4 linked regions of the Arabidopsis thaliana genome follow. The protein of the gene in region 1 interacts with the protein of each later gene in a pairwise test. Each region holds a gene or a part of one and is shown in the gene's direction. Other genes may lie near its edges. The genes, in order: NAC3, ZW9, CRK28 and AT3G48510.

Evidence for each region.
Region 2: the proteins of NAC3 (region 1) and ZW9 interact in a two-hybrid assay, tested with the Arabidopsis thaliana proteins (one large-scale study listed by BioGRID).
Region 3: the proteins of NAC3 (region 1) and CRK28 interact in a two-hybrid assay, tested with the Arabidopsis thaliana proteins (one large-scale study listed by BioGRID).
Region 4: the proteins of NAC3 (region 1) and AT3G48510 interact in a two-hybrid assay, tested with the Arabidopsis thaliana proteins (one large-scale study listed by BioGRID).

What each region holds. Positions count from the first base shown.
Region 1 is NC_003074.8:5,231,054-5,238,631, forward strand, and holds NAC3 (NAC domain containing protein 3), read left to right. Parts: upstream 1-3,403; 5' UTR 3,404-3,677; coding exon 3,678-3,858; intron 3,859-3,951; coding exon 3,952-4,220; intron 4,221-4,325; coding exon 4,326-4,829; 3' UTR 4,830-5,143; downstream 5,144-7,578. UniProt on the Arabidopsis thaliana protein: Transcription factors that bind specifically to the 5'-CATGTG-3' motif.
Region 2 is NC_003070.9:21,611,303-21,619,613, reverse strand, and holds ZW9 (TRAF-like family protein), read left to right. Parts: upstream 1-5,444; 5' UTR 5,445-5,524; coding exon 5,525-5,913; intron 5,914-6,128; coding exon 6,129-6,298; intron 6,299-6,391; coding exon 6,392-6,674; intron 6,675-6,762; coding exon 6,763-6,914; intron 6,915-7,023; coding exon 7,024-7,220; 3' UTR 7,221-7,811; downstream 7,812-8,311. Other genes in the region: AT1G58265 (Cytochrome P450 superfamily protein), read right to left, coding at 8,226-8,311.
Region 3 is NC_003075.7:11,396,815-11,405,407, reverse strand, and holds CRK28 (cysteine-rich RLK (RECEPTOR-like protein kinase) 28), read left to right. Parts: upstream 1-3,698; coding exon 3,699-4,539; intron 4,540-4,606; coding exon 4,607-4,783; intron 4,784-4,822; coding exon of another isoform or gene 4,823-4,834; coding exon 4,835-4,947; intron 4,948-5,031; coding exon 5,032-5,242; coding exon of another isoform or gene 5,243-5,326; coding exon 5,327-5,570; coding exon of another isoform or gene 5,571-5,571; exon of another isoform or gene 5,572-5,639; coding exon 5,640-5,796; intron 5,797-5,881; coding exon 5,882-6,190; downstream 6,191-8,593. Other genes in the region: CRK29 (cysteine-rich RLK (RECEPTOR-like protein kinase) 29), read left to right, coding at 383-1,217, 1,326-1,454, 1,542-1,696, 1,781-1,991, 2,071-2,314, 2,389-2,545, 2,637-2,945; B120 (S-locus lectin protein kinase family protein), read left to right, coding at 7,934-8,593.
Region 4 is NC_003074.8:17,965,603-17,972,839, reverse strand, and holds AT3G48510 (AtIII18x5-like protein), read left to right. Parts: upstream 1-4,249; 5' UTR 4,250-4,387; coding exon 4,388-5,272; 3' UTR 5,273-5,486; downstream 5,487-7,237.

The sequences.
Region 1 (7,578 bases):
CAAAGGAATATTTTGTAACAGAATTTATCTTTTTGGGTTTGTATTCTTACCCGTAGATTATTTCAATTTTTTATATAAAAAAAAAAAAAAATATGGGTGAAAAATTGATTCAAGAAACAGTTACCAAAGAATTTCATATTTTCACACCAGATTTGAGACTTATTTATCAGCGAATATAAATTGTTTCGTCGTGCTAAAAGTAAAATTATCTAATGTGAAAATGGTACATGTGAAACACCGTCGTGTGTAAAACAATTCGATGCTTGGAAATGGTACTCTCGCTAAATTTAGTGGGTCTCCAAAATTCCATGCGACGACTTAGTTATTTACATAACACTATGAATGGGCTATGCAGTATTTGTTGAGATTGAGATATAATCGTTTTTGCTCTCATTTCATCACATACTCAACTGAATTAGTTCATATGATACTACATCTAGAAGATTATTGGGTAGTTTTCGGTTCAGAATTGCATGAATTCAAGAGATTTAGGACTCCGTATCTGGTACAAGCTTAAATGAACCTATTTCAAACAATAAAAATTAGTGGGCCTGAAACTTTGTTGGGCTTAAAAAATCCTACATACTTTATCGGCTGTAGAAATATATCGATACCTAAACACTAAACAGACCAATATCAATAACAGACCTACTAAACGACTTTGTTCATGTTTAGCGTTTATAAAAAAAGTTAAAAATGTTGGCAACAACATCATCCGATCCATATACTCTTATCAGGAACGGAAAACAAAAAGGTCAATAACAAATAAAAAAATATAATTGGCCATAAGTAGTGAATAGTGATTAAATATGATTTATCCTACAATTATTCGTTAATAACTAACTAAAAATATATTTTCTTATACCAAAGAAAACTATACAAACTACTTAAATCAAACTTGTAAGATAAGATATAGTTGGATGAAGTGGGGGTTTGATCTACGATGGTCATCTTCATTGTTTGATTCCCCCTTTTTCGTTTCTATTCTATTTTAAGAATATGAAAAGACGTATAATATGCACAAGTTGGAGAGAATATTTATCAGCTTTTCAGAGTTTAGTATACTATATATGATCTTATCGAAATTTATACCTTTTCTATATATATATATATATATTAAATCGAAACTTTCTTTGTTATCAGTAGCTTAATGTTTAGAAATATTCTTATTATAGTGTTTGATTAAATATGTTTCTAGAATCGAAAAAAATAAAAAGAAATCATTATATTAAATTACGATAAAAAAAGAAAAATTAATTTAATAAAAAAGGGAAACATTATTTCATTTAACTAGCTAGTATTTTAACAAACAACTAAATAGTTGTAATTTATTGTCATAATATATATATTCTGAATAAGAAAAATCCACATATGTAGCAAATGTATTATACATGTGTATGACAAAAGTTTTACAAAATGGTTGAACTTAAAAAAAAAATATGTCTTAAACATACGTAAGACTACACGTAATATCAAAATTAACATGCTTAGACATAGTAATTATAAAGCTTTATGTAAAGCAAGACTGATTCTATTAATTAATTGATGGATCAACACTTTTAGCAATTGGGGATATTGTACTATTTACTGGATTATGCTTGTGGAGGGAGCTCATGGTGCTCCAGATTATCAAATTTTATATATGGTAGAAAAATAATTATACCATTACAATGTAAAGCATTCGAGTTCGAATTTCATTGGCGCACTTTGATTTTATATAGGAAGATTGAGGTTAAGTTGTAATAAGTGTGATATTCATATTATTATTGGAAGTTTATTGGTTTAGCCATATGGTTTATTCAGCAAACCATTAACTAAACTCACATGTCAAAAGTTGAAACTTATACCACCTTGATATCCACGTCATCAATTCTTAATACACTTTTGTATTTTGACCCAAATTTACGGGGTTACACGTTATGTAATTATGATATATGCATGACATACACGTTATGATATATGCATGACATCGCTAAAATAGCATAATGTTAATTAGTTATCTAAAACTAAAGACCTGTGTGTGGATATTATCTTCCAACATTAACAAAAAAATCCCGAAAAGGAGAAGAACAAAAGCTTTTAAAAAAACTTTGATCACCCCGTTCTATACCAATTGATGTATCTTTAATGGAAGAGAACCATTATAAATAGAAACGAATTAACACCAAATGCACCGTGACACGAAAGATATTGAGTGTAAGAAACCCCAAATTCCTTGTTATATTCGCTTAGAATTATTTTTACAGCACCATGTACATGTGATCACAAGATATCAATTAAAGTTAGCTAATTAACTTTATTTTTCATTTTTTGGGCTACTAGTTTGCTAATTAACTTTTTACCGAGAAAAAACTATCAGTAGAAAGCCAAAAAATTCAATGAATAAGAAAAAAAAAAAAAAAGCCTAAACTTACATACATATATGATATATCTACGATAAATTTGCTGATAAACGATCTGACTTCTAACTAAGATTCCTGTTTTACCTATTTTAAAAAAAAATCGAGAACCATGAATCAAAGCTCAACTATGTTAATCATGATTGAAATCACGTACGTTCTCGAATGCTTAAATAAATATGTTAATCAATAAACCGCCATAAATTGGTTAAATATAAATCTACTTGCAAGAAAATTGTAATTGAACTTTATTTTCAATTGGTAAAATGTTCCTTTTTCACGTACACAAAAAAGTGTTTGAAGAGAAGCGTGTTTGTGTTATACGGACTTACGAAAATCTTGTGTTCCCATTTCTCAACCACAAAAGCCTAATTTCTTGGTACCTCTGATTGTATACTATCGTTTCACAATTACAGTTTCATCTGATTTCAATCAAAAATTACAGTCTCATATGGATCAAATAGAAAAATAACGAGAGTCTGCATCATCAACTCGTGTTTGTTGTTTGTCCCTCTCTCTGATCTTTAACGGCTTTTGACGAAAGAAAAATATCCCGCCTAACTCAACCAATAGACACAAGACATGTGTCGGCTTGTGGTAGTTCTATCCGTATGAAAAACGCTTTCCATGTTACCATCCAGTGAACTCATCCCATCATTCACTTACACGTGTTTTTTCTTCTTGACGACCAAAAAAAAACAATTTGGCACATACCCATTAAAAAAAAAATACTTCTTATTTTTCATAATACTTTTCGTAGATTGTCACTGTTATGTAACTCATTCATAGAAATTTACCGCGTAAATTGCATGAAAAATCACTAGTCTTAAGAATCACCTAATTTGTTTTTCTGAACTTACAAATATTCGCAAATTACTTTCAGTTAACTCCCTAATACTTGGGAAGACCATTGACAATACAAAAAAAAAATCATAAGAGGAGGTACAGTCACACACACAATATTACAACATTACTAATATAAATAATCAACTTTATGGTATAGGTTCAAAGAACCAAAGGGATCGCATAAATCACGACGCTCTAATTGATCCACGTGTCATGATAAACATAAAGTGGGACCCGTATTGAGGCTGCACGTTAACGAAGATTGGGCGGCGGTGTAATATTATATTATATATATACATACACGAGTAGCAGAGCTTCGAAATCTTTAATCTCAGAATACAAAAAAGAAAATCAAAGAAGATAGTTTTGTGATTGTTTTCTATAAAAAGTGCAGATATTTTCTTTGTCCTAGAGAAAGAGGTGATAGGAAAAATGGGTCTCCAAGAGCTTGACCCGTTAGCCCAATTGAGCTTACCGCCGGGTTTTCGGTTTTATCCGACTGACGAAGAGCTGATGGTTGAATATCTCTGTAGAAAAGCCGCCGGTCACGACTTCTCTCTCCAGCTCATAGCTGAAATCGATCTCTACAAGTTTGATCCATGGGTTTTACCAAGTACGTATAACCTAATAACCTTAACCGTGTTTGGTTTCTTTGTAGCTAGTTATGTTTTTTTCTCTTCTAACTTGTCTTTTTGGTTCTTTGTAGGTAAGGCGTTATTCGGTGAAAAAGAATGGTATTTTTTCAGCCCGAGGGATAGGAAGTATCCAAACGGGTCAAGACCTAATCGGGTTGCCGGGTCGGGTTATTGGAAAGCCACCGGTACGGATAAAGTTATCTCGACGGAGGGAAGAAGAGTTGGTATCAAGAAAGCTTTGGTGTTTTACATTGGAAAAGCTCCAAAAGGAACCAAAACCAATTGGATTATGCATGAGTACCGTCTCATCGAACCCTCTCGTCGAAATGGAAGCACCAAGGTATAAATTTAGTTAAATACATGATGTATCCAAAAAGATAAGTATATAGTAATTGTAATTATACTGTTCAACGAATAACATATTTTAAACTGTTTTTATGTTCAGCTTGATGATTGGGTTTTATGTCGAATATACAAAAAGCAAACAAGCGCACAAAAACAAGCTTACAATAATCTAATGACGAGTGGTCGTGAATACAGCAACAATGGTTCGTCGACATCTTCTTCGTCTCATCAATACGACGACGTTCTCGAGTCGTTGCATGAGATTGACAACAGAAGTTTGGGGTTTGCCGCCGGTTCATCAAACGCGCTGCCTCATAGTCATAGACCGGTTTTAACCAATCATAAAACCGGGTTTCAGGGTTTAGCCAGGGAGCCAAGTTTTGATTGGGCGAATTTGATTGGACAGAACTCGGTCCCGGAACTCGGACTGAGTCATAACGTTCCGAGTATTCGTTACGGTGACGGTGGAACGCAGCAACAAACTGAGGGGATTCCTCGGTTTAATAATAACTCGGACGTCTCGGCTAATCAGGGTTTTAGTGTTGACCCGGTTAACGGATTTGGGTACTCGGGTCAACAATCTAGTGGGTTCGGGTTTATTTGATTGTGTAATGGTAACGTAATAAGAAAAACATATTTTTATTTTTTGTCCGTGTCAGATTAGTTAATTAATATAGCGTAGAATTCGAACTCTAGGGTTAGATTTAGGTTCTACGACTTGTATTGTATATTCGTCGTCATTTGTCCTGACATTTACATTTTTGTAAACTTTTATAGCTGGAACTTTTGTATTGATCAATTATTTATTAGAAAAACAGATATTGCATTGGATCTATAAGTTTTGTACTTGCTATTGCTAACGATAAACGATAGAAATGTGAAAGTTTCCTTATCATTCATGACACATTTTTGTGTCAACATCATGTAGTATTATCATTAACAACGAATCAGCGATTCATAATTTATTATATTAATCGCCATAATATATCGATAATCTAGGAACCATAAAGCGAATATGACTTTGCTCGCTATCGCTCATCGTTTAATATTAGTACCAGCTAAAACGAACAATAGATTTGTCATCATCTTTCGCTGATGACGGTAACCATATCATAGCGAACATGACCAAAAATGTATGTTTATCTGAGATGATTTCTAGCCTATAGCACTAGTATACTTTTGTAAAATATAAAAATACTATTTATATAAACACATGTGGCATAAAGAAATTTCGCACGCGATAGTTGTGTATATATTCATTTATGTGCAATGGCATTTGCAAGCCGTAAGGTTTGAAATAGTAATATTGTACAGCTGTTTAAAGAACGTTCAAAATTTGTTAGAGAAATTGATATATATATATTTAAAAGGATATGGATAAAGATGTTATATTGTTTAATGGGAAAAGGATAGTGATGGTATTAGATGGCCAAATCTTAAAGACCAATTGGGGTTTGAAGATAAGAACAGAGAACGGACCGTTTGGGGTTTCCTGAAATTGCACGTGTGAGTCAGCATGGGCTGCTTGTTTGACTAGTTTAGAATCATTTCTTTCCTAAAATAGTAACAATTCACACCGTACAAGTTTTAAACACATCTACGCTTTTTGTTCGTATAAGTAGATTTTCATAATCAAAATTTAAATAGATTTTATCTGATTAACTAATTAGATAAATGTTGTGAAAAATAATTTTTACACCGAAATTAGCTAGGGAGTTTTTCTTTCTAGTCTACATGAATATCCATTACATTGAAATTTAAAGAGTTTATGGAATTTAAAGAATTGGCTATAACTTACGTCTTATTATATTTATTTTCTAAATCACTTAAAACCCTAATAATCGAATTAAGAGAAATCATTGGGCGATTGTTAGTTACTTTTGTCAAACCAATTCTTTGTTCTCTTTGTTTACATTGAAATCTTTTGTCTTCTTAAATAATCCAAAAATAAAATAAATAAAAACACTGTCTTCTTCTTACAAAAACTTTTGGCTACTCAAACAACTTGCGAAACTATAATTTTCTTTCTGTATCTTAAAATCGCAGAAAAACGAGAGATGGAAATGAGTTTGTTAAATATATATTTTCGTTTAAAGTTTGATAATTAAGGTGGCTGGATGTGAAAATATTTCAATTTAAAAAGAAGAAAATATTAATGTTCTACATGTAAATTTTGTTGGACGAAGCTCTACGCAACCCCTTAGAATAGCATATTCTATCGTAAATACATGAAAACGAAGGTTTTGAGTTTAATACTTTGTAACCATTTTGCATAGAAATACTTGTGGTCCATATTCATCAAGATGTTATTGTACGCTAAAGTCTAAACAAATAACCATTCATTCGTCCATATGTGATTAATCAGTAAACGAATACAGGCGCGTACGCAATTACGCATGGCATGGGGTTTAGTGATGTATATTAGTACTTTATTTTTTGCCATGCATCTATTGTAAAAAGTCAAAACATGAAATTAATATAAATCATTTGTTTATATTTTGTTCTTACGCGTAATAACAAATGATTTATACAATAATTTATGATTTTTGGTAGTTTATAACTGGAAGATTCCAAACCAAAATCTAAATTAACGTGTTATTCAAAGAAATGAAAATTTGTCCATATGGTAATTAATGTTTTATATAGGACTTGAGTATGTGTTGGGCCATACGCAAAAAGTGGATTCAGTTAGGCCTATGTATTTCTTTAACAATGGGCCTGAGTATTGGAAACGCAAATTATATATGTATCCAATTATATTTTTGTTAAAGAACGCAAATTATCTTGATCGTGATTATTTTCGTACTGACCGAGACTTGAGAAATCAGACTATTTTCTTTGACAACTTATATTTTAAACAAAAATAAACGTACATAGATACAAAAAAATCCTTGAGTATAACCTTTTTTTTTTCCTTGACTACAACTTTAATGAAAAATAAATCTAAAAACTCAAAAGGCTGAACAAAATGAGATGATGATTATCAGGTACTGTGTATATAAGTGCATAATATTTTGTTATAAAAATTTCGACTCCAAATATATTTTCGAAATAAAATTCAAAAGTGCTTTATAAAAGAACAAAGTTTTTCATTTTTCGCGACCTCAATTGTTCTATGGAGAAAGTTTTTTTTATTGGAGAAAATTTAAAGCTTCATCCATTATTAGTAAACTGGTTATAATTGATGTCAAACGAGTGCAACCGTAAATATAATATCTACGAGTGATTTCAGACTAAGCAATCAGTCTTTAAATATCTCACACATGCAAGTAATGCAATATCTTATAGTATCTAACAATGACATCTGCGATATAAAATACATTTAACCTAGACAAACTTTTTGTTGCTGGGTG
Region 2 (8,311 bases), on another chromosome or scaffold:
CCCCGCCACTAAATAAAAGCTATTGTTGATTCCAGCAATGTTAACCTCCAGCTTGGTAAGGCTGGCAAGGAGGACCAGCTCCAAGGCGTAGTTATAAGTCTAGCTCGACATGTGGTTGTAAATGTTGAGTAAAACGTTTTAAGATTTGGGAGAACCTTAAAACAAAATGACTATGAACGAGATATCTCACCACACGAGAACGTCTTCCTCTATGACGCCGTTCTCTACCATGTCCCTCCATCACCATCAGCTTGAATAGGCACACGATCTAGACCCCAACAAGCATGAGGCTACATGTTCAGATGTTCTTGGTCAATCATAATAAAAACTGACAATATGATAATAAAACACTAACTATCACTTTGTGAGATGAAAACGGTATGACCTTGAGGGAATGATTGGTTAAAACACAAGTGTTGTAACATCTATAGAAAATGTAGCAAAACATCACGTCCTCGTCATAGCAAGCTATTAGGGTCGGGTTTTGTCAGCAAGTTTGATATAAAGGTGATTGCATATGACCCTGCTCATTACGAACGTAAAGGTGAATGCATATGACCCTGAAAAATTCGTGGAGCTTGATTATGCCAACAATAGTTCATGGGGAAGAGACTTCTCTCGGCTGCCATATCGCAAAAGGAGGAGCCGGTAGTAAATTGAAACAAGAGGCTCCGGTTTTGAAATTTACGAGAGAGTCTCTTACAAATAACACAAAGCTTACACCTCATATGGCCTCATGATTGTGCATAATTGATCGCAATTATCACAAAGAAGAATCTTCTTGGGCTCTATAAATGACATTGTTTGAAGCTATCCATGATTCACTCTCCAATGCAAACATCCATCTCTCGCAATCATTGTTTAATTAATACGAAGTGACAAAAAGGAAAGTAGCAACATACGGGAAGCAGAATGACTTAAGTTGCAACATAAGAGACGAGAAATTAATCACAATTAATTTATTATGTTGTTCTATACCACATCAAGGATCATAATTTTCATTTCTGCACTTTATAATTTTTAATCAATATTTTAAAACGAATTGCTCGGAAAATCGCTGATTAAAAATTTTGATATCTAATTGTTACGACTAGTTGCTATATAGGTAGCTGGATATGAGGCAACAAAGCTCATATGGTATGGTTTGGTTTGGTTGTTGTCATTAACTAGTGGTCGTAGAGTCTCTATCTTCACTAGAGAAGAACAAACAAATAGATCAAAATTCAAAAAATCAAAAAGTAATTATAGAAAATTCAAATGAAAAAGGAGTGAGAAAAAAGGTTAAAATCTTTCAAATTCTTAAGTTACACTAAATTAAAAAGATGTAAAAAGAAATTTATAGTAAATAGAATAACCATTGCATTTATTTTTTGGTGCATTGATATAGTTAATATTGCATTTATTATGCAGTTTGTTATATATATATATATATTTTTTTTTGTTTAAATGCATATTTGTTACGATACTTATACATACCTCTGTCTTGGAGTTAGCTTTTTTGTTATCATGTTCTTGGGTGTGTTTATCAGTTCAGTCGGAGTGGATTGATCAGAAGAATTGTTGAGGGTTTGTTCCCATGTTCGTTATTAGGATGCGTTTATGAGATGGTATTAGGTGAAGAGGTATCTACTAGCCTTCCTCTGTGCATGTTTTGGAGTAGGGCCGGATTGGTCTCAATACGATGCATTAGGATTGATATTCAGTTCTTATCTTAAGAAAGATGGTCAACCTTTTGTTTATAGATGGATGAAGCTAGGTTTTCGAACGGCTCCATTTTCTAGATGTTAGTCTTACTAGAGTATCACCTTGTCGGAGTTTCAGGTTTTTTCCTCTTGCCTTGGTCAGTTAAATAGTGTGGCACTTTGATATTTGTTTTGGAGCTCGGGTTTGGGCATTCTGTGGATCAGCCGATCCTTGGATTTTGTTTGGATGTTGGTTCTCAAGGCTGTGGATCAAAGATTTTTAGAAGAAGAGGTGAATTTTAGATTTCCAAACTTGGTTTAAATATTATATTTGGTTGAAATATTGGTTATAAATCTCGAAAATAAGATTTTAAATCCTTTCATCAAAAAGAATATTATTTTCATAATTCTGTCGGACAACAGTGATGGAAAGAATAAGAATTTTTATTATTATTAACAAGATGATGACGTGGTAACAATGTCATCAAAACCGTGACATCCACGTCACCAACGTTATCAAGGACATGACATTCATGTCATCAATGATGTATGATTTTGCATGATTGGATAAATTCATGTATTGGAACTTAAATTATTTAAAACGTTAGATATATATTAGTAAAGAGAAAACTGTTAGGTATAAATTGAACACTGATACTTTGTTTGGATATGAAAAAATTGACTTTCCTCTTTGTGCAGCTCCGGCGTCTACTACTTTGATGGGAAGGTATGTGGGAGTTTTCTTGGATTGAATTGTGGGGGCTTTTGTAAAAATAGGAACATTTTGGCCCAATAATTAGAAAAAAGGAACATTTAGAATGGGCTTATAGGTTTGGGCATATGTTTGCAACAAATATGACGCTTTTGCCCTTCGTCTTCAACACCATCGTCTTCAACACCATTGTCCAGACATCGATTTTGACGATTCATAGTGTTATTAACAACACCATCGTCTTCAACAAAATTTTCCAGCCAACATGTCTATTCTGATTAACCCAATCAATCAAAATAAATGATTTTTGATTGAAGAAATCTAAACCCTAAAGGGATACTATCTAGGGAACCCTTGGGTTCTAATCTTAAACACTCCAATTCATTATTAATTCTAAACCAAATTTGATTTTTATTGTCAATAGAGTTCATCATCATCGTCACCAACTAATAACAGAGGATTTGGAAAAGTAATTCTAGAGATCCAAACTATCACCTTCGCTTCTCACTATCGCTCAACTCACCATCGTCGTTGAAACTCACCATCGTCGCCAACGCTAATTGGAGGTCGAGATCTTGCCGTCTTTTTCATCACGAGACATGATTCATGAGTCACCGCCGTTGCTTCTTACCGTTGTCAAAATCGTTGTTGTTGCAGGAGCTCAATCACCATTGTAGGTTCAGTGGTAAGGGTAAACTCGTAAAATACTTGCATAGAAAAATACTTAAATCTATAAGGCATATGAGATATGTCTGTTTTCATAAAGATATAAACTTAATTGTGTCAATCCCATAATTAATCCCTAAATTGTGAGTTGCAGTTTTAGAGTTTATGAGTCTTTTTTAAAAAAATTATTATGTTCCATTTTAATATATTTTAGTACCAGGTTTACTTCCCCTTTTTTTTGGGTTTTAACTTCTTTCTTGTTTGAGTTTTGCTTTAGAGATTTTAGTTTTTGTAAAGCAAAAATTTGCTCCTGATGAATCATGCCTAATGCTACCTGTTCTTATTGTCGATTTGGTAGTCTTTCATTGCAGCAAATATTCTTTCAATCACTTCTTTCAAAAAATCTACATATACATTTTTGCAGCCATTTTAACAAATAAATCCTGAATTTGGACTTATTTACAACTCAATGCCATTAGCATTAAATCTTTTCTCCAAAATAATTAATTTTACTTGATTTAAATTGTCAACCACATTATCAATCAAATTTAACCCTTAAAATTAGCATAAACATATTTGTTAACAATATTTTAAAACAAAGTTTTTTGTTAAAACAAATATTATTCTTACTAAACATTTTTTGTTTAAATAAATAAATCATGTATTTGAACTTATTTACAATCTCATGACACTGACATTAATTATTTAGGAATGAAAATATTTAATTAAAGATTTAAATCTTCTAAATCCTTGCTTTTAGAGTTATTATGTCATTACCTTAAAGGCTCAAAATATAAAATAAATAAATATAATTATTTAAATATTTTAAATTTATAAAACATTATTAATATTTAAAATTATAAAAAGTTTAATATATCATAATTTTTTAACATCATTATATAATATATAAAGTTTAAAAAAATCTCTATTCTTTCCGCCATAATTTGTGATTCGAAATTTTAAAAATAAACATATATTAACCAATTGGCGAAAAATGTTTGAGTTCAACGTCCCACATCGACTAAAATATTTAGACAATAATTCATAAACATATCATAAATAAGATTAACATTAATAAAATAATGGTTTTTTTACGGGACGGGTTTGGCGTGACGGGTTTGGCAGAACGTTACTTAATAACAATTGTAAATTATAAAATAAAAATATTTTATAGATAGATACAATTTGCAAAATTTTATATATATTAACTTTAAAATATAAATTGTCCCCGCGGTGTACCGCGGGTTAAAATCTAGTATTGAAATATTTTGGTTTCAATTATTTATTTATCGGGAATTGATTTTGAATTGGTAGTGTGAATTATTGGTGTCACTGTTATACCGCGCTGGCAATTAAATCGATAGGGTCATATAGATGTCATTAGGTAATCGCAAGAGTAATATATTTTATGGATATGGTAAGGGTTGATGCTTTGTCATGGTTTTTATTATTATTATTATATATAAATGTAAATATTAATGAAATAGTGTGTATATATATATATAATAGTTTTGGAATTACATGATGTATAATGTATATAGGGGTTGAGAGACCTATGACCGGTCAAAATTTGGGGGCCAAAGTAACAAATTATATATTTGGGGTTATTATAAACTGTTTTGAAATTTGGATATATTTTTCTTAGAACTAAATATATTTGGAAGCCTATTTATAAATCAGGTTTGCTGTAAAAAAAAGTTTTTAAAAATGGAGACAACATACAAATGTTTCATGTTGCTTCTTTCAGAGCCGGCCCGGGAGAAGCGTTGCCAAAAAAGAATAAAGACAAAGGTAACAAATAAACAAAGAAGACACAACAGTGAATTCATCTAATCCAAAGTTGTATGTGGTTTCCGAAATGCTTCCTTTGTCTTGTTCCGAATCTCTCTGTCGATGAACTTGAAAATGGTGTTTCACGTTCATTCAATAAAAAATAACAACCATAGTGTACACAGAGACTGATAGTGAAATAAAGGAAAAAAAAACTATAATCTGTTAAATTCAGATAATATCTATTATTTTTTTGTTTTGTTGAAAAATCAAATCTCTAGTAACATTAATGAGTATGAATCGTGTCTGGTAGTTGGTACGAATCGAGATCTCATCAATGGGTTTTTTAAGCTGCTTTGAGACGTGCGTAACACGAAGTTGTCCACTATGACTTGCTCTTGTACTTATAAGTTAAAATAATGATGCAGCAGAAAACAATTACTATTTTGTGAGACACGTATATCCCAACAAAACAATATGTCGTAGAACGTGCTAATTAATTAGTGAATACCTACGTGTCACGATCTCATGAGATTGGTGTATTACTGAGAACTAACGATCTCATGAGATTGGTGTATTACTGAGAACTAATCACTAATAAACGTGAATCTCGTGACACATATTATCATTATGCCTATATATACGTACATAAAACAAGACATTATTACAAACACAAAATATAGAAAAAGAAATAATGTATTCAGAGGAAAAGAAAAGCAGAAATTATGGTTCAATCTTTGTCTACTGCTTCTTCTGTTTCGTACTCATTGTGGAGGTTGCAAGATTCGCAAAACCTTATATCAACCTTCAAAACCTAATTGAGACGGAAGCAGTAGTAGAAGAAGGTTTCATGGCGGTGGGGAACTCAGGGAATCTTCCGTGTGGCTCGTCAAAACCTAGCTCTGCCTCTGTTCGTGCTCATGATGAACAGAAGCTCTCGCAAGCAGTAACAACAGATACGAGAACTCGTCCTCCAAATTCGTACTGCGTGAAGTTCCAGTCTTTTGTCACTATGGCAAAGCAGGTCAAAGAAAACGGTGGCAAGTATGAGTCACGTCCTTTCTCCGTCGGTGGATACAATTGGTACGTACGCGTTGACTTCCATTTCAAAAATGTTGAGAAACCATACCTTATACATAGAAGATATACATTTTTTTTTGTCAAAGGGTATTCATTTATATACTAGTGTTTTGATCATCTCCACTTTCTATGTGAAAGATTTTAACTTATTGCTCTGAATCTCACCCAAATTTTAATTTGTATATAATTTGACATATTTCTACTTAAAATGTTATAAGGACGCTCCTAATCTACCCAGTCATATACATTCCAACGGACTCGGGTGGGTACGTTTCGATTTACGTAAGAGTCGATAACTCAAGCCTCATCACCAATCCAAAAGATGTGTATGCAGAGATCACATTCCTCGCTTATAAAAGCAGTACAGACAAGTACCAAATAAGCCAGGGTACTAATTAACTAATCTAGAGCAAGTAAATATATATGTTTAAATCTTTTGTGGTTTGTTCAGACTAGTTATTTAAGTTTGATCCGTTTGCAGAGACTGAGGCCCAGCGATTTCATTTGTTTAAACAACAGTGGGGACTTTTACAATTTCTACCAATTTACTATTTTGAAAATCCGGCATATGGATACTTTTTCGAGGGCGAAAGCGTTGTGTTTGGCGTTGACATCAACATTGTTAAACCCTTTGAAAATTGGGAAGTGTTCTCTAATGAACAAAACATTCGTGACCCTATTTTCGAATGGAGACTCACCAAATTCTCTACACGTTTTCTTGACTCTTACACTTCTGATTCCTTTTCTTCCGGAGGAAGAAACTGGTACGTGTGACTTTCTTCCTCTTGTATATATATAACAATACGTACAAGATGTGTTAGTTTAATAATATGATGGTTTTTTACATTGAAGGGCATTGAAAGTGTATCCAAATGGAGTTGGAAATGCTACGGGTAATTCGTTGTCACTCTATTTGTTGAGTGATCAGTCAAATGATAAGGGTTATGTGGAAGCTAAGTTACGAGTTATTGACCAGATCCAATCCAACAATTTCGAGAAAAAAGGTTTGATATCTACTTTGTCAACTACTACTACTAATTTAAAGCTAATTAATTATAATTAATGAGCCTTTAAAAAATAAAAATAACTTTTGATTTCTTCCTATATACACAGTGGCGGCATGGCCCAATGCAACGGAGAATGGATGGGGTTTCGACAGGTTTCTATCATTTGCAGATATCAAAAACACATCAAAAGGTTTCCTAGTCAACGATACTCTCAAACTTGAAGTCCAGATCTTGTCCTTCTCGAAAACCGACTACTACTCTCATCAATCGTCTCTTAATGTTTTAACGGGAGATAGTACTTAGGTGACTAATCGTCGCTAGTGTAATTTTACAACTGGCTACTATCACTTTGCTTCATTGTGTTTTTTGTTTCTGTTCAATAATAATGAGTTCGAGCTTTCCTATGTCAAACTTGATCAATCTGATTTCACATATTGAATACCAAATTGGATAGGATGAAAGAGGCAGTCCCTAGGATGTTTTTTTTTTTTTTTGGATTTAAAGATTGGGTACGTAATCCATTCACATTTCCTTTTATAATTGTCCACTTCTTAATCGTTTAGTCGATCGTCTACGGCTTCAATAATTGTAGTTTTGTCCTTAGTAATTGATTATTCTTTTCACTTCGTTTTTCGTCCACTAATACAATTACTACAATGTTGTTCTTCTCCATAAACATTATCTACATCGATTCCTCTCTATTGCTTGTAGTTGTACAGTTGTCTACTGCGCTTAAACTTTTTGTTCACTTTTCATTTATGTTCCCGTCCTCGGCTTCAACTACTGTACTTTTGAAGATTTGTTAGATATACTAGGAACATGAACTGCTACTAAAAACTTGTCCACGGTTCCATCTTCGTGGACATCTGTATTTTGTTTACTTCGTTTCTCGTCGACTGCTACAACTACAGTATTGTTGTCCATCATCCCTTCTCCGATACATTATCTACATCCATCTTTCTTCGTTTCTCGTCGACTCCTACATGTTTGGGTGACAAATCATCAAGTGATAAATTATTATTGTATTAAAAGCAACCATTTTTATTGTATAACAACCATCATAACTTTCTTTCTGTCCACATTTAATGTGCCACGCCACACCATCATCTTATCTAGACGTCAACTGCTTTTGGCAGAGGTGTCAGCCTCATTGGGCGAAATGTTTTGTTTCCCTCCATAACCAATTAAAGGTAGTTTAGACATCTTCTCCTTTGTCAAAAGCTGACTCATTGCACAATTTTAAAGATATAAAAAATAGCATTGCCGACAAAATATTTATACAAATATGGCACAATTGGCAAAATTCCCTTAAAAAACATAAATAGTACTTAACAAGATTATATCACTTGATGATTTGTCACCCAAACATTTTCTAAAAATTCTTGATCTGAATT
Region 3 (8,593 bases), on another chromosome or scaffold:
GACTTTGAGTTCTTATTGGTCCTGGAGAGAAAAGAAGTGAGAAATATAAACTTATTTTAAATGTTTTCTTGTAACTTATAACTTCTTATTTCACACACCGTTGACCTGATTCGTTGCACCAACTCCTAAATTTTTATATTGAAATTTTTATATATCATCATGCAGGACCCAACAAGCTTACAATGGCTGTCCACTTGTGTCTGTCTGTTACTGAAATTTATAATTGTTTTTGATCAGCAACTTGTGTTCTTTCGGCTGTGAGCTAGTTTAAAGAACACACGGCTTTTTTTTAAGGTCAAATTAGGTCGACATTTACCATATAAAGACTCATTACACACTGGTGGGTTTCTCATAGATTAGAGAAAAAAAGCTTCAAGCTTTCATGGAACATGTCAGAGTTATCTTCTTCTTTGCTTGTTTCCTAACGCTTGCTCCATTTCATGCCTTTGCTCAGGTAGATTCCTATGAGTTTGATCCAGATTTCAACTGTGTTGATCGTGGCAACTTCACGGCGAACAGCACTTTTGCCGGGAATCTCAACCGCCTTGTCTCCTCCCTCTCCTCACTCAAATCCCAAGCTTATGGCTTCTACAACCTCTCTTCTGGAGACTCATCTGGAGAAAGAGCTTATGCAATTGGTCTGTGTAGAAGAGAAGTCAAAAGAGATGATTGTGTCAGCTGTATTCAGACAGCTGCAAGAAACCTCACCAAGCAGTGTCCGCTGACAAAACAAGCTGTTGTATGGTACACGCACTGTATGTTTCGTTACTCAAACAGGACAATCTACGGAAGAAAAGAAACGAACCCGACTAAGGCTTTTATTGCTGGTGAAGAGATATCAGCAAACAGAGATGACTTTGAGCGTCTGCAGAGAGGACTATTGGACAGACTCAAAGGAATTGCGGCTGCTGGTGGGCCTAATAGGAAATACGCTCAAGGAAACGGTTCAGCTTCGGCTGGGTACCGGAGATTCTATGGAACTGTGCAATGTACGCCAGATTTGTCTGAACAGGATTGTAATGATTGTTTAGTTTTTGGGTTTGAGAATATTCCGAGTTGTTGTGATGCTGAGATTGGTCTTCGGTGGTTTTCTCCTAGTTGTAACTTCCGGTTTGAGACGTGGAGATTCTACGAGTTTGATGCCGACCTAGAGCCAGATCCACCTGCAATTCAGCCTGCTGATTCACCACAATCAGCTGCAAGAACTGAGAGGACAGGTACATAGAAATGTTTGAATGTTTCTCTCGTGTGTGCTACTGCAGATGTTGTCCCTAGCAGAATATGTTTTTGTTTCTAAGATTAAGATAGTGAATGTTTTATTGCAGGAAAGGGCAAAGGTGGATCTAAAGTCATTATCGCGATAGTCATCCCGATACTTCTTGTTGCGTTACTCGCAATTTGCCTATGCTTGGTCTTGAAGTGGAGGAAGAACAAGTCTGGATATAAAAACAAAGGTAACACAGTGTTCTTCTTCGTGTTATCGTTATCTTGTTACTAATGGATTAACTATTAGTTCTGATAAATACTATCTGCGTATTCAGTTCTTGGGAAATCACCTTTGTCGGGTTCAATTGCCGAGGATGAGTTCTCGAACACAGAATCACTCTTAGTTCATTTTGAGACTCTAAAGACAGCAACAGATAACTTTTCTTCAGAAAACGAACTTGGACGTGGTGGGTTTGGTTCAGTTTATAAGGTAAGCTTCTTCGAACAAACTTCTTACCGGTAACTTTGGTTTATTTATTTGAGAGATTTATAAACTTGGGATTATGTATCTCAGGGTGTGTTCCCTCAGGGGCAAGAAATCGCGGTGAAGAGATTATCGGGTAATTCTGGACAAGGAGACAACGAGTTCAAGAACGAAATATTACTACTTGCAAAGCTTCAACATAGGAACTTGGTCAGGCTTATAGGTTTCTGCATACAAGGAGAAGAAAGACTCCTTGTCTATGAGTTCATCAAGAACGCTAGTCTTGACCAATTTATCTTCGGTAAATCTTTTTCCGGCTTTTACTCGATCTGATCCTACCATTCTTCTTCCGCTCTGCATTGACCATTGCGCCGTTGCAGATACTGAGAAGCGTCAACTTTTGGATTGGGTAGTGCGGTACAAAATGATCGGAGGAATTGCTAGAGGACTCCTTTATCTTCATGAAGACTCTCGTTTCCGGATAATTCATCGTGATCTTAAAGCTAGCAACATTCTTTTGGACCAAGAAATGAATCCGAAAATCGCAGATTTTGGATTAGCTAAACTCTTTGACTCAGGCCAAACCATGACACATCGATTCACAAGCAGGATTGCAGGAACTTAGTAAGTAAATTCATTTAACTAACTTATAAATCCAGGAAACACCAGTATAAACCAGTTATCATTTCAATTTTAAGCGGATATATGGCTCCGGAATACGCAATGCATGGACAATTCTCTGTGAAAACAGATGTTTTCAGCTTCGGTGTATTAGTCATTGAGATCATTACAGGTAAAAGAAACAACAATGGTGGATCGAATGGTGACGAAGATGCAGAAGATCTTCTTAGTTGGGTAAGTACAGTATCCAAAACCAAGCTAGTAAATGGGGTTTCAGTTTTGGTCATCTTGTTGATAAAATTTGTGATTCTGTTTTTCTTTTCAGGTGTGGAGAAGCTGGAGAGAAGACACTATACTAAGCGTGATCGATCCGAGTTTAACCGCAGGATCAAGAAATGAGATCTTGAGATGCATACACATTGGTCTTTTATGTGTGCAAGAAAGTGCAGCGACTAGACCAACAATGGCTACGGTTTCTCTCATGCTCAATAGCTATTCTTTTACCCTCCCGACGCCTTTGAGGCCTGCGTTTGTGTTGGAGAGTGTCGTCATACCTTCAAATGTTTCTTCTTCAACGGAAGGGTTACAAATGTCGTCAAATGATGTTACTGTTTCTGAGTTTTCTCCTCGTTAATCTGTAAATGTTTTGATTCTTCTCTGAAAACCTTTGAAATGGGTTTTGTTTGTGTGATTTTTCAGGCAGCCTGGCTTGATCTTGTTGTGAATAAAACATGAATGTGAAGCTGTGAGATACTTTTTCCTTTGTCTCATTTTTTTTCTTCCAGTTTATCGTTACTTGATTTCGTTTTAAGGTACAATTTGATAGAAGTATATATATATGTCAGTAAGTTTAGAAAATTGGATAAGAGATTTATATTGAGTCCACATATATAAATATGAGAGTTGAAAGATGATCCACTAATCATCTACAGAAGTAAAAGAAATTGTAAAATAAATGGCTTAGACGAAATTAGATGGTTCCTAGTTAGTCTTATATTTTCTAGTAGGTTTGAAAAGTATTCAAACTCTTTAGTTTTCTTTCCTGGTACTTGTGGGGAAAGAAGTGAGCAATGAACACTTCTAATTTAAATAACGTTTTCACACCAAGTCGTTAGTTTCATATTGTGAGTCTTTGAATCTACTACCATCATGGACCCCCACAACCTCATAAAGACTCCACTTGTGTTTGCTACTGGGTTTTATAATTGTTATTGATCAACAAGTTTTGTTCTTTCTGCTGTTGGATATTGATTTAGTTCAAAGACCATACTGCTTTTGAATAATTCCAAGGTCAAGTTAGATTGACTTCTTCCATTTTTAGACTCGTTATTACATTCTGGGGTTTTCTCATATAGATTACAGAAGAAGAAAAAAGCTTCAAGCGTCCATGGAACATGTCAGAGTTATCTTTTTCTTCTTTGCTTGTGTCCTAAAGATTGTACCATTTATCTGCTTAGCACAGAAGGATAAATATGAGTTTCCTCCAGGTTTCAACTGTGTAGCTAGTGGAGGCAATTTCACGGCCAACAGCTCTTTCGCTGGTAATCTCAACGGCCTTGTCTCCTCTCTCTCGTCACTCACATCCAAACCTTATGGCTTCTACAACCTCTCTTCTGGAGATTCATCTGGAGAAAGAGCTTATGCAATTGGTCTTTGTAGAAGAGAAGTAAAAAGAGATGATTGTCTCAGCTGCATTCAGATAGCTGCAAGAAACCTCATCGAGCAGTGTCCACTGACAAATCAAGCTGTTGTGTGGTACACACACTGTATGTTTCGTTACTCGAACATGATAATCTATGGAAGAAAAGAGACGACCCCAACTCTGTCTTTTCAAGCCGGTAAAAATATATCAGCAAACAGAGATGAGTTTGATCGTCTGCAGATAGAACTATTGGACAGACTCAAAGGGATTGCTGCAGCTGGTGGGCCAAATAGAAAATACGCTCAAGGGAGCGGTTCGGGTGTGGCAGGGTACCCGCAATTCTACGGAAGTGCACACTGTACGCCGGATTTGTCTGAACAGGATTGTAATGACTGTCTAGTCTTTGGTTTTGAAAAGATCCCAGGTTGTTGTGCTGGTCAGGTTGGTCTTAGGTGGTTTTTTCCTAGTTGTAGCTACAGATTTGAGACCTGGCGATTCTACGAGTTCGATGCCGATCTAGAGCCTGATCCACCTGCTATTCAGCCTGCTGACTCCCCAACATCAGCTGCAAGAACTGAGAGAACAGGTGCATAGAAATATTTGAATTTGTACTGTTGCAGCAGTTGTCTCTAAGATTGAATGTTTCATTTCAGGAAAGGGCAAAGGTGGATCTAAAGTCATTGTTGCGATAGTCATCCCAATAGTTTTTGTTGCGTTATTTGCAATTTGCCTATGCTTGCTCTTGAAGTGGAAGAAGAACAAGTCTGTAGGTAGAGTCAAAGGTAACAAACACAACCTTCTTCTTTTGGTTATCGTTATCTTGTTACAAAGTATAAACTATTTATCCTGAGAACTATGTTCATTGTCAGGATCAAATGCAGAGGATGAGTTCTCAGATTCGTTGGTAGTTGACTTTGAAACTCTAAAGGCAGCAACAGATAACTTTTCACCAGAAAATGAACTTGGACGTGGTGGGTTTGGCTCAGTTTATAAGGTATGTTTCTTTGAGAAAACTTCTTAACGGTAACTTTGGTTTCCCTTGGTTAGATTTATAAGCTAAGGATGATGCATTTCTTAGGGTGTGTTCTCGGGTGGGCAAGAAATCGCGGTGAAAAGATTATCGTGTACTTCAGGACAAGGAGACAGTGAATTCAAGAACGAAATTTTACTTCTTGCAAAGCTTCAACATAGGAACTTGGTTAGGCTATTAGGTTTTTGCATAGAAGGACAAGAACGAATCCTTGTCTATGAGTTCATCAAGAACGCTAGTCTTGACAATTTCATCTTCGGTAATTGTTTTCCGCCGTTTTCTCCATATGATGATCCTACCGTTCTGTTTTTTCTGCTCTGTGTTGATCTTTACGCTGTTACAGATCTTAAAAAGCGTCAACTTTTGGATTGGGGAGTGCGATACAAAATGATAGGTGGAGTTGCTAGAGGACTTCTTTATCTTCATGAAGACTCTCGTTACCGGATAATTCACCGTGATCTTAAAGCTAGCAACATTCTTTTGGACCAAGAAATGAATCCGAAAATCGCAGATTTTGGATTAGCTAAACTCTATGACACAGACCAAACTTCGACACATCGATTTACAAGCAAAATTGCAGGAACTTAGTAAGTTACTTCATCTTACTAACTCATTAACCAAGAAACACCGGTATAAACCCGTTATTCATCTTGTAGCGGGTATATGGCTCCAGAATACGCTATTTACGGTCAATTCTCGGTGAAAACAGACGTTTTCAGCTTCGGTGTATTAGTCATAGAGATCATTACGGGTAAGGGAAACAATAATGGTCGATCAAATGATGACGAAGAGGCAGAAAATCTCCTTAGTTGGGTAAGTACACAAAACCAACCAGGTAATTGAGGTTTGAGTTTGATTCATCATGTTAACTGAATTTGTAATTCTGTTTGTTTCTCAGGTGTGGAGATGTTGGAGAGAAGACATTATACTAAGCGTTATTGATCCGAGTCTAACCACGGGATCAAGAAGCGAGATCTTGAGATGCATACACATTGGTCTTTTATGTGTTCAAGAAAGTCCAGCGAGTAGACCAACTATGGATTCGGTTGCTCTAATGCTCAATAGCTATTCCTATACTCTCCCAACGCCTTCAAGGCCCGCCTTTGCGTTAGAGAGTGTCATGCCTTCGATGAATGTTTCTTCTTCCACAGAACCGTTATTAATGTCCTTGAATGATGTCACTGTTTCTGAGTTATCTCCTCGTTAGGAAGCTTAATCTGCATATCTTTTTAGTTTCTTCAATGATGGATTTTGTTTGTGTGATTTTTTAGACAGCTTGGCTTCATCTAGCTTTTGAAACGAGTAGAAGTTATAGCTTTTTCTTTTAGTTCTACACATTCGTCGTTAATGGTAGATTTGTTTTGCAAATTCGATTTTACTGTGTTTTAAAACATATAACATGAAATTTAACTTAAGAAAATGAAAATAGTATTAGACTTTTACTAAGAAAAGCTTTCTACTTTATCCTACACATGAAATGCATACACATTGGTCTTTTCAAAAGCAACAAATCAATGTTAAATACAGTTTTCTTTATCTTAACTCCTAATAATGTAGCTATAGAATTCATGACTAAGCATTGTGGACCCTTGGAGCATTTTTAGATGGAGATGGGTGTTTGTTTCTTTATTAGGTTTTGTTGCCTAGTAGCCACATTCTCTCAGTTAAACTAATACATTTGTAAATTTTCACTTGTAATCAACTAATCCACCAAATGAATCAATAATGTAAACTCCAGAATCGATCTGGCATTGTATGAGTATCAATATATGCTTTAGTGCCACTTGCTAGTGCAATCCACTTGAGGTTTGGCTGCATCGATATTAGATATAAATACTTAAGCGTCATGCAAAAAAAAGATTACTAAATAATTGTAGGGTTATTATGGGATTTTAGGCGAGCAAACAACATTTAAACTTTGAAGGAATACAATTTGAAATATCAAGATACGTAAAATATGTCACGTGCAATAAAATAAAGAGAAGACCCATCCAAATCAAGTGTGCGATACTTTGACCATATGAGTCAATGTGGCGGCCAAAGGCAACAAGCATATCTAATCTAAGTATTATATAACTAAGCAAATATTCCACTAAACTAGTATACAAAGCCAACTGCTCCACTAATTGCCTGACATACTTATTTATTTTCAAATTTGGTAACCACACCTATAGCTTATACATTTTCTTCGATGGCCTTATACAATAGGAATATACTATTACCTTCTCATTGTTCTTATTATCATCAACCATTTGATAAATCCTCATCACTCTTAAACATTGACTATGAACTAAGGACGTCAGAAGTAGTCCATACAAGATATGAATGGTTGGATCGTCCTAAGTCATTGTATTAATATACGTTTCTAATCAATGGAAACTATATAATTGTAATATAATTTTTACTAAATCATGTAACTTGAAAACCTAACTTTCTTTCTTAATAAAAATTGAACCGCTAAAGTATCTAATCCATCATGTGTCAACTGACACCGTCCAAAATCCTCTTAGAGATGTAAGAAAAAGTTTCAAAACAATTAGGTCAGCCACCAATCACATATTTCTATGCAGGTTGTATAATCTTGAAAAAGAACAAAAAAAGTAGATGACAAAAAAGAATTAAAAGACAATAATAATAATACCTTATAAAGATGATAATAATTCAAACAGTTTGACCTTTTTATTTCAATTCTCTGGTCCAACTTTCCAACCTGACGAGACAAAAATATAGAAACTTCTCAACAGCAATAAAACAGCAACCTTTCCTTTTTGTATCCCTTCTCCTTTGTCACCTCTCCTCTTACTTTTTTATCAATAGGAAGTTTCCGCCATTGTGACAGACACAGTTCCTCTGTTTCTCTTCTTTCATCTTTAAGCAAACCTCAAAAACCAATCCTTTATTACGAAGATCCTCACTTGTGTCTTCTTCTCCAACACTAAACCCCAAGAAAATGAGATTCTTCCGCAAAACCTCACTTTATCTTTCTCTCTTCTTATACTTCTTTCTTTATGAATCTTCCATGGCTGCAAATACAATCAGAAGAGGCGAATCTTTAAGAGACGGAATCAATCACAAACCTTTAGTCTCTCCACAAAAGACATTCGAGCTAGGTTTCTTCAGTCCTGGAAGCTCTACGCATCGTTTCCTAGGGATTTGGTATGGGAACATCGAGGATAAAGCTGTGGTATGGGTAGCAAACAGAGCAACTCCAATTTCAGACCAATCTGGAGTTCTCATGATAAGCAACGATGGTAATCTCGTGTTATTAGACGGGAAGAACATCACTGTCTGGTCTTCAAACATCGAGTCAAGCACTACCAACAACAACAACAGAGTCGTTTCTATACATGACACTGGGAACTTTGTTTTGTCTGAAACCGACACAGATAGACCTATTTGGGAGAGTTTCAATCACCCAACAGATACCTTCTTACCGCAGATGAGAGTTCGTGTGAATCCACAAACCGGAGACAATCACGCTTTTGTCTCATGGAGATCTGAGACTGATCCTTCCCCTGGTAATTACTCATTAGGGGTTGATCCCTCTGGAGCACCAGAGATTGTGCTTTGGGAAGGGAACAAGACGAGGAAATGGAGAAGCGGGCAATGG
Region 4 (7,237 bases), about 13 Mb from region 1:
TTTTATATTCTAAAGATAAGAGATTGTCCGCTTTCTACTTTTAGAAAGTAAATCGTTCGTTTGGTTGTTCTAATCACTATTATTAGAGACTTCTCTAAAGGGAAACCCTCCAGGCTCCAATTATCACGTATAAAATAATATCTATATCATGTACTATATATAGATAGAACAAATGTTAATTATTGTAGTAATTTAGGCTTGTATCTACTTTTTATTCATTATACAAGAGGAGTGACGTAAATCTTGGTCAATTCATATTATACCTTTGGAATCCTCCACTTATCGTATTATAAGTTATGCATAAATTATATGTAATCTTATTATGTACATTACATACACCATTCCGATTATGGAAGCACATCTCAACTTTTTAACCTTTTCCCTGAATTTCATGTGAGAGTTACGTGTATCTTTATATTCAAGTTCAAGTAAGTCACTTGGCAGTTGGCACGGTCCAGAGATACGATAATATGAAAATAATGTTCTTGTATAAAACTAAAGGTAATTGGTTGGTATAAACATTGCAATTGACGAGGCTCATGTACACAGTACACAATTAATCGATACTCAAATAATATTGTTTATTATTCAGTATTTAGGAGTTTATTTACGTTTTCCTGAAACAAGAAAGATAAATGAGTTATAATTAGCTTTTGTTGGTGTAATTTAGATTTAATTAATTACTGTTTTATAAGAACTTTGATCCGTATAATTTGGTTTTCAAAACTTTCCTCCTCGCATATAAAAGATAACATTGCTTCCTTACATTTTAGAACTATCTTGAAGTTAATCTTGAAGTGCGAATATAATATTAGATGGCCCTCAGAACAACTGTCTTCATCGGAAGATCAACTCAATATTAATTATAAGAATCGAATCATATTTTATTAATTGAACTGATAAGATTTGTGAAACTTATCTTATGAACATACCAAATATTCAAATTGCGTAGGTAGGTACTAGGTATTGTGGCAACCTATATGAGACGTGCCACGTGTTCCAGACGGCATATTAAAAGAGGGTGAACATTTTTGTTACTATATTTTATACAAGTAACTACCAAGCCTTGCCCACCAATCAATGAATCACTTTTTTTCTTTTTCTTCCCAAACATAGTAATTATATTATATATTTGAAATGGCTAATCAGTCCAAAAAATCAAGACGTACAAAGAAAAAATTAAACTTCTAAGTCTAACACTATATGATCCAAACAATTTACTAATTAAATTATTATAAACATGAAAACTGAAAAATAGTTTTTTTTGCTAAACTAGACTGAAAAAATAGTTGTAAACGGAAAAAAGAAAACATTGGATACCCAAAAACAAATCTAGTGATGTTGAAAACACATACCATTTCCAATAAGAAGTCATCTTGATCAGTCCATGCTGTTTATCTCAAAGCAGAAGCAATGCAACTATTGATCGTGAATGCAAATATATATGGTCCACGACTCATATTTGAATGAAATGTTAATTCCACATATTAAACCGTACGAAATGATATTATTATTTTATTTTTTAAAGATATTAAAATCTTTTTGAACTACAATTCCAAATGTTGATTCCAAAACTCCACTGAAAAAAACAATTAAGATCATTCTAGCTAACCATATTAAACCTAATGATATTTAATTTTGTTTTTCCGAGTTTTGTAGTTCACAAACTAACAAGATTTCAAAAACTTCAAGAAAAATTGGAAAACCAAAGTGTGGACGGAGTTACCAACTCTAAAACCTGATATTTATAAGAAAACATGCTAACATAATCATAATTATAATGACTTATACCAAATTAGATTTGAATATTTGACTACTGATGTCTTAGTCGAAAAAAAGATTGTGGTTCTAGAGTGAAAACACTTCCAGCGATAAATGTGCTGTACTTAAAACATATAAAAAAGTGATGAGTACTTTATGCTTAGTATAACTGGTTTTGGTTAATTTCATTTGATTAAATAAACAAATAAAGTTAACTACTAATAGTTTATGTGATGATTATTATAAACATATTCTTAGCAAAAAAAAAAAAAAAGATTATTATAAACATAAGCTAATGAATTGTCTTAACGTGTCCTTTTGCGTGTTCTCATGCAAAGTTCACAACACGGACCACTCGTAATACTTTCTAGATTCCCTCGCACCTTCGAACACTACTATCCCAAATCTAAGATTAAATAGTTTTTTACAAGATTTGTTTGGTTAGAACTCTAGTCTAAGTTTAAGATTTGGGAATTTTGTTTATTAACTCACTCTCAGATTTGAACCTAAGTTATGAAACGACAACAAATATTACGAACCAAAACTATAAATTCTGACTGGTTTATATTCACTCATTTTATCATTCATAAACCAAGGGATTAAATGAACCTTTTTTATGACATATAGAAATTAATTTTTTTTAATGATTTTTTATTTTTCATTCTACATAAAATTTATTTAATACAATTCCGTTATTCTATAATACAGTCAATCGTATTATCTAAATATTACTTAACATCCAAATTATTTTAGACTAAACTGTTGGTGCATATGATTTTGGTTTGAACTCCTTTTTTTCGTTTTTTTCACTGAAAGATAGATTATAGATAGAGTTTTACAAAGCTAAAGCTGGCGATTAACAAGATAATCCTAGAAACTAAGCCGACGGATAACAAAAAATCTTTGGAGACTAAGATTTTGGTTTGAACTCTTATGAGATGTTTATTATTCTACCCAAAAAAATAGACTTCAAACAGATTGAATAATGTCTTTTTGAGAATGTTTTTAGCTCATCAGAAATTTAAAATGGTTTGGACAGTAATATGTATCTGACGCATATAGAAGATTGAAACTAATTACCATCTCTTGAGAAAACAAAGTTACACAATCAAACTCTTTGTTTGGCATAGGTCCACTGGCCTAAATTTTTTCTTTGTTCCCATTTGCAAAAATTAGATTCGAACTCGTAAAACATATATATCAAGTCGCTAATAGCCATTAAACTCATTTACTGGTCAAACTATAACTGTTATTTGTCAAATCCGTTATTGTTTGAATATGTCTATCCTCAAAAGAAGATCTCGAAGCAGAAGCTCAAGTAAAATTTATATATGTATTATGAATGTATCCAAGTTTTGTCCATAAGAATTCCTCTAATATTAATAGCTAAATTAAGGAAACACCTATAAACCAGATATAGATGATTATACTTGTTATAATCATTTACTATAGATAGGTACAATAGGAGTATATTTGATTAATCAATATTCCTTCTTGATATTTCAATAACGATTACCTAACTCCATTGGCACTAATCTTTATTTTTGTCACCAAATCTTTAAGTTCATTTACGCATGAGATCATCTTGTCCCCTTTCAGATCTAATTTGTCACAATCACTTTAAATTTAATTAAGATGCCATTCGCTTTAAATTTAGACTTGGTCAATGATTATAATTATAATCGATCGACTCATCACCTTTTGAGTCGTGTGACTCGTGCGTATAAAAACCATTTTTGTTGTCAGATATTTTAACTTGATTTTGCCATCTCTTCACTATTGTTACATCAGTAAATCGCTTCGTAAGTGGAGATTAATTTGCAAATTTTGGAACTAATTACTGACCAGTGATCCACTCTATATATGGTTGTATTAGTACTTGATTGGCAAATAACAAAAAAAAAACTTAAATAAAAAAACTGTGTTATTCTTAAATTTATAGTATATGGATTAGTTTTAAGAGTGTGGTTGGGAAATATACGAAAGTCCAAGAATCTTATTAGTTCGTTCACAATTGTATAGGGATGTTGTCACTAATTTTAACCAAATTATACCTTTTTATCTTTTTGCCTAACATTTTTTTGACGTTGCCCCAAAACGAAGCAATGAGTTGAGGGTTAGTGGTAAAAATAATCAAAAAGATTATATGCATAGATTTATGTGAAGTTAACCAAAAAAAAAACTCGACCCAAAATACATAATCTTCAACAAGAACTATGTTTTCTTCTTGCAACAAGAACTATCACTCCTGTCATAGCATAGACCAAACTTTTTTTTCTCCTACACTAATATATAAAGTTACAGTTCTTTTTACTGAACGGTAAAATTAATGGTTAGAGTTGGGAGAATAACTTAGGCAAAAAAACAAAAAGAGAGAATAACTTTCCATGTGCAACCCAAACCCTTTACTACTGTCTTCTAGACCCAACACAACCACAAGCGTGCAGGCAAAGACACGTGTCCATGTCACAACTAGTATAGACTCCAACACGTGTCCAGATCACAGACGTTATAAAACCCTTACCATTTCTGTTCAGTGTATTCCTCAGCTCAAGTAAAGCTTTTACCTAATTCTCAAACATTCTTTACACAAAAATATCAAGAGTGATATAGATAGCGAGAAAAAATGGACGGTAGGGGAGGGTGTTGCATAGCTAGGTACGCCATTGGCTCTGGACCGTACGATCTTTCCAAAGCAGATCGCATCATGCTTCGATTTCGTCCCATTGCTCCTAAACCGGCCAGCCCCGGCGGAGTAAATCCCGTATCCAGCGGAGATAGCGGCGGCGGAAGCTCCGACGTTTCCTTTAGATCAGCTAGTAGAAGAAAGAGGAAATGTCATCAGCTGAAGGAGAATGGTGGTAACGCCAAGAGGTGCACCCGGCGGAAGACGTCGGATAAACCCGTCGTTCACGGCAGTGCTAATGCGGTGACTCTTTCTCTATTACCGGAGAAACCTATAGATCTTAAGGCGGCGGTGGAGAAGCAGAAGCGGCAGGGTCCGTTATGGTTGAGTTTCAAAGACGGCGGAGGGATGCTCACACCGGCTTATCAGACACCGGAGATTGTGCAGAGGACGGTGGTGATTTCGTCGTGTATGACGGTGGAGCGTGTAACGGACGCTTGGATTGACGGTTACGGTTTAGGGAGGTCAGATGAAGAAAGGAAGATGAATCTTGTGAGAGACACGTGTCCTGGTTTCATATCCGACGGTTCAGGGAGAGTCACGTGGACTAATGACGCGTATCGGAAGATGGCTAGGGATATTATTCCCGTGGAAGAAGGTGCACCGGAGATAACTAGCGGCGATAGTTTTCACGTGATCGTACGGTTGGTGATGAGGGAGAGGCCGATGCTAACGTCCCCTGGATTCACATGCAGAATGAAACTCCAGTACACGTGTCAAAATCGTGAGAGAGGCTCAGTCACGGTGCCTTGCGACGTGTGGAGAATGGACGTCGGTGGTGGTTTTGCTTGGAGGCTCGACGTTAAGGCCGCTTTGTGCCTTTGACACCGTTAGATCAACTTTAGTCACTATGGGCACGAACATTACACATGATATGTCCTCCAATGATAAAATATGGATTCAGAACTAATTAGATTTCTAATGGTTTAACATATATTTATGTCGTTTTTGTTCTTATGCCTTCTTTGTTTTTGGTTGTTTTTTAAATAGTTTTTTATTTAAGAATTTTTGTAAAAAATGCATCTTTCTTTTGTTTGTTCTTGACGCATTTGTGATGCTAAATTTCAAGCTTGTTGCTTAAAAATAATTAATGAAGGAAAATTTTGTAAGTATTTAATGCGTATCGTCGGTGCGGTTCCCACCTATATTGGACGCATGTTGTGAGATTTCACGGCAAGGACGGTTGGAAATTACGGTCCGAGTGATCGTCCAAACATGCAAATTCCAAAATGGTCCAAAAAATGTGAAACATACCATCTTGATTGCTACAAAAAAGTGTGAGCGAACCGGTCTTACTTTGAGCTAGTTACTCACTTGAAGAGATATTTCAGTCGAACTCATCACATTTTGATTTTGATATTTTCTTTTCTTTTGTCGGCACTCACGTTTTGAGGAAACAAGGAATATAAGAAAGTAAACGACCCAATAAACGTGATACGTCGGAGCAAAAGAAAACAAAAAAGGAGGGTGAGGAATAAATGTTGTACTACAGCTTTGAATGTACTACAGTCTACCTGCGGTAAAAGTGCGATATCTAATGATACGTGGGACATCTATATATCATCTATGCCATAATAGAAATGCCACATGGACCAATGTTTAACTATGTGTAGCTGTGTTTTTGGAACTTAAACATCAGTTCCATTTTTTGACAAAAAAAGAAGAAGACGTCAGATTCAAAACATTCAAATCAACGGTGTGTACCAAATTCCAAATCGTTAAGTTAATGAGAAACTGATTTTACCATCTCCGGATAAGAAATAGCGCTACAAGACTAAAATCAAAGACATTGTATGATACTATAATCGAGTTTTTAAGGGTCAAATGAATAGTGTTTAGCCGGGGACTTTTCTTTTATAAATTGTTTTTTAGAATCTTTTTGAATTTATTTTTCGTTATATATAATCAAATTAATCAAAACATAAATAAATTAAGAGTTTTAAATAGCAATACAAGTCTACCTACATTGGACATAAATTGTATAATAATTTAGTTAAGAATTTTAAGGAGACTTTTCTTTTGTAAATTGTTTGTTAGAATCTTTTAGTATTACTTAATCTTCCGTTACTATTGTTAATGACCTAACTGATCAGAAGCGGAGTACTGAGACGTTGCAAACACCATCCTTAAACCGTAAACAATATGTATGAAGATTGTTTTTGGTTGTATAAAATAAAACAAGTCAACGGACGATTTAAACAGAATAATAAAATTGGGCCGAAGCTTATTAGCCTTTTAAGGCCCACAAAGAAGAGCGAAAACCCTTAACGAGCATATACAACTCGGAGCACCTCTTTTCTCTCGCTCTCTTCCTCTTCAAGGTTTATATTTATAACTTCTTTTGCTGCTCTCAACGAACTCTTCCAGGCTAATAAACCGTCTCTGTTTTCATCTTCTCCGTAGCTGAGATAGCTCCATACCCTCTCCGACCCAAGTAAACTGATTTTCCATGTTATGGAGATTTGGTTCTCTAACTTATTGCTTTAGAGTTTTGATGTCATTGTACAAGTTTAATGCTATTATTTTTGTGAATTAGGTACAACCTTGCAGAGTAGCTTTGGTAAGAGTTTGCCTTAAGAGTTTTGTCATCAAAGAGCACACATGGTGTGAAGTTTTTGGTATACACGGAGAGATGACAAGGGTTTTTGATATTCCAGGTACGAACGAGAAAGCCTTTTGATAGAAGTTGATGTTTTGGAGCCCAAACAGAAGAAACAAGAGAAACATTTAGGCGTATTTTGCGGTGTCAAGACTACCTTCTCTGACGACGATTGATAGAAAAAACAAAAA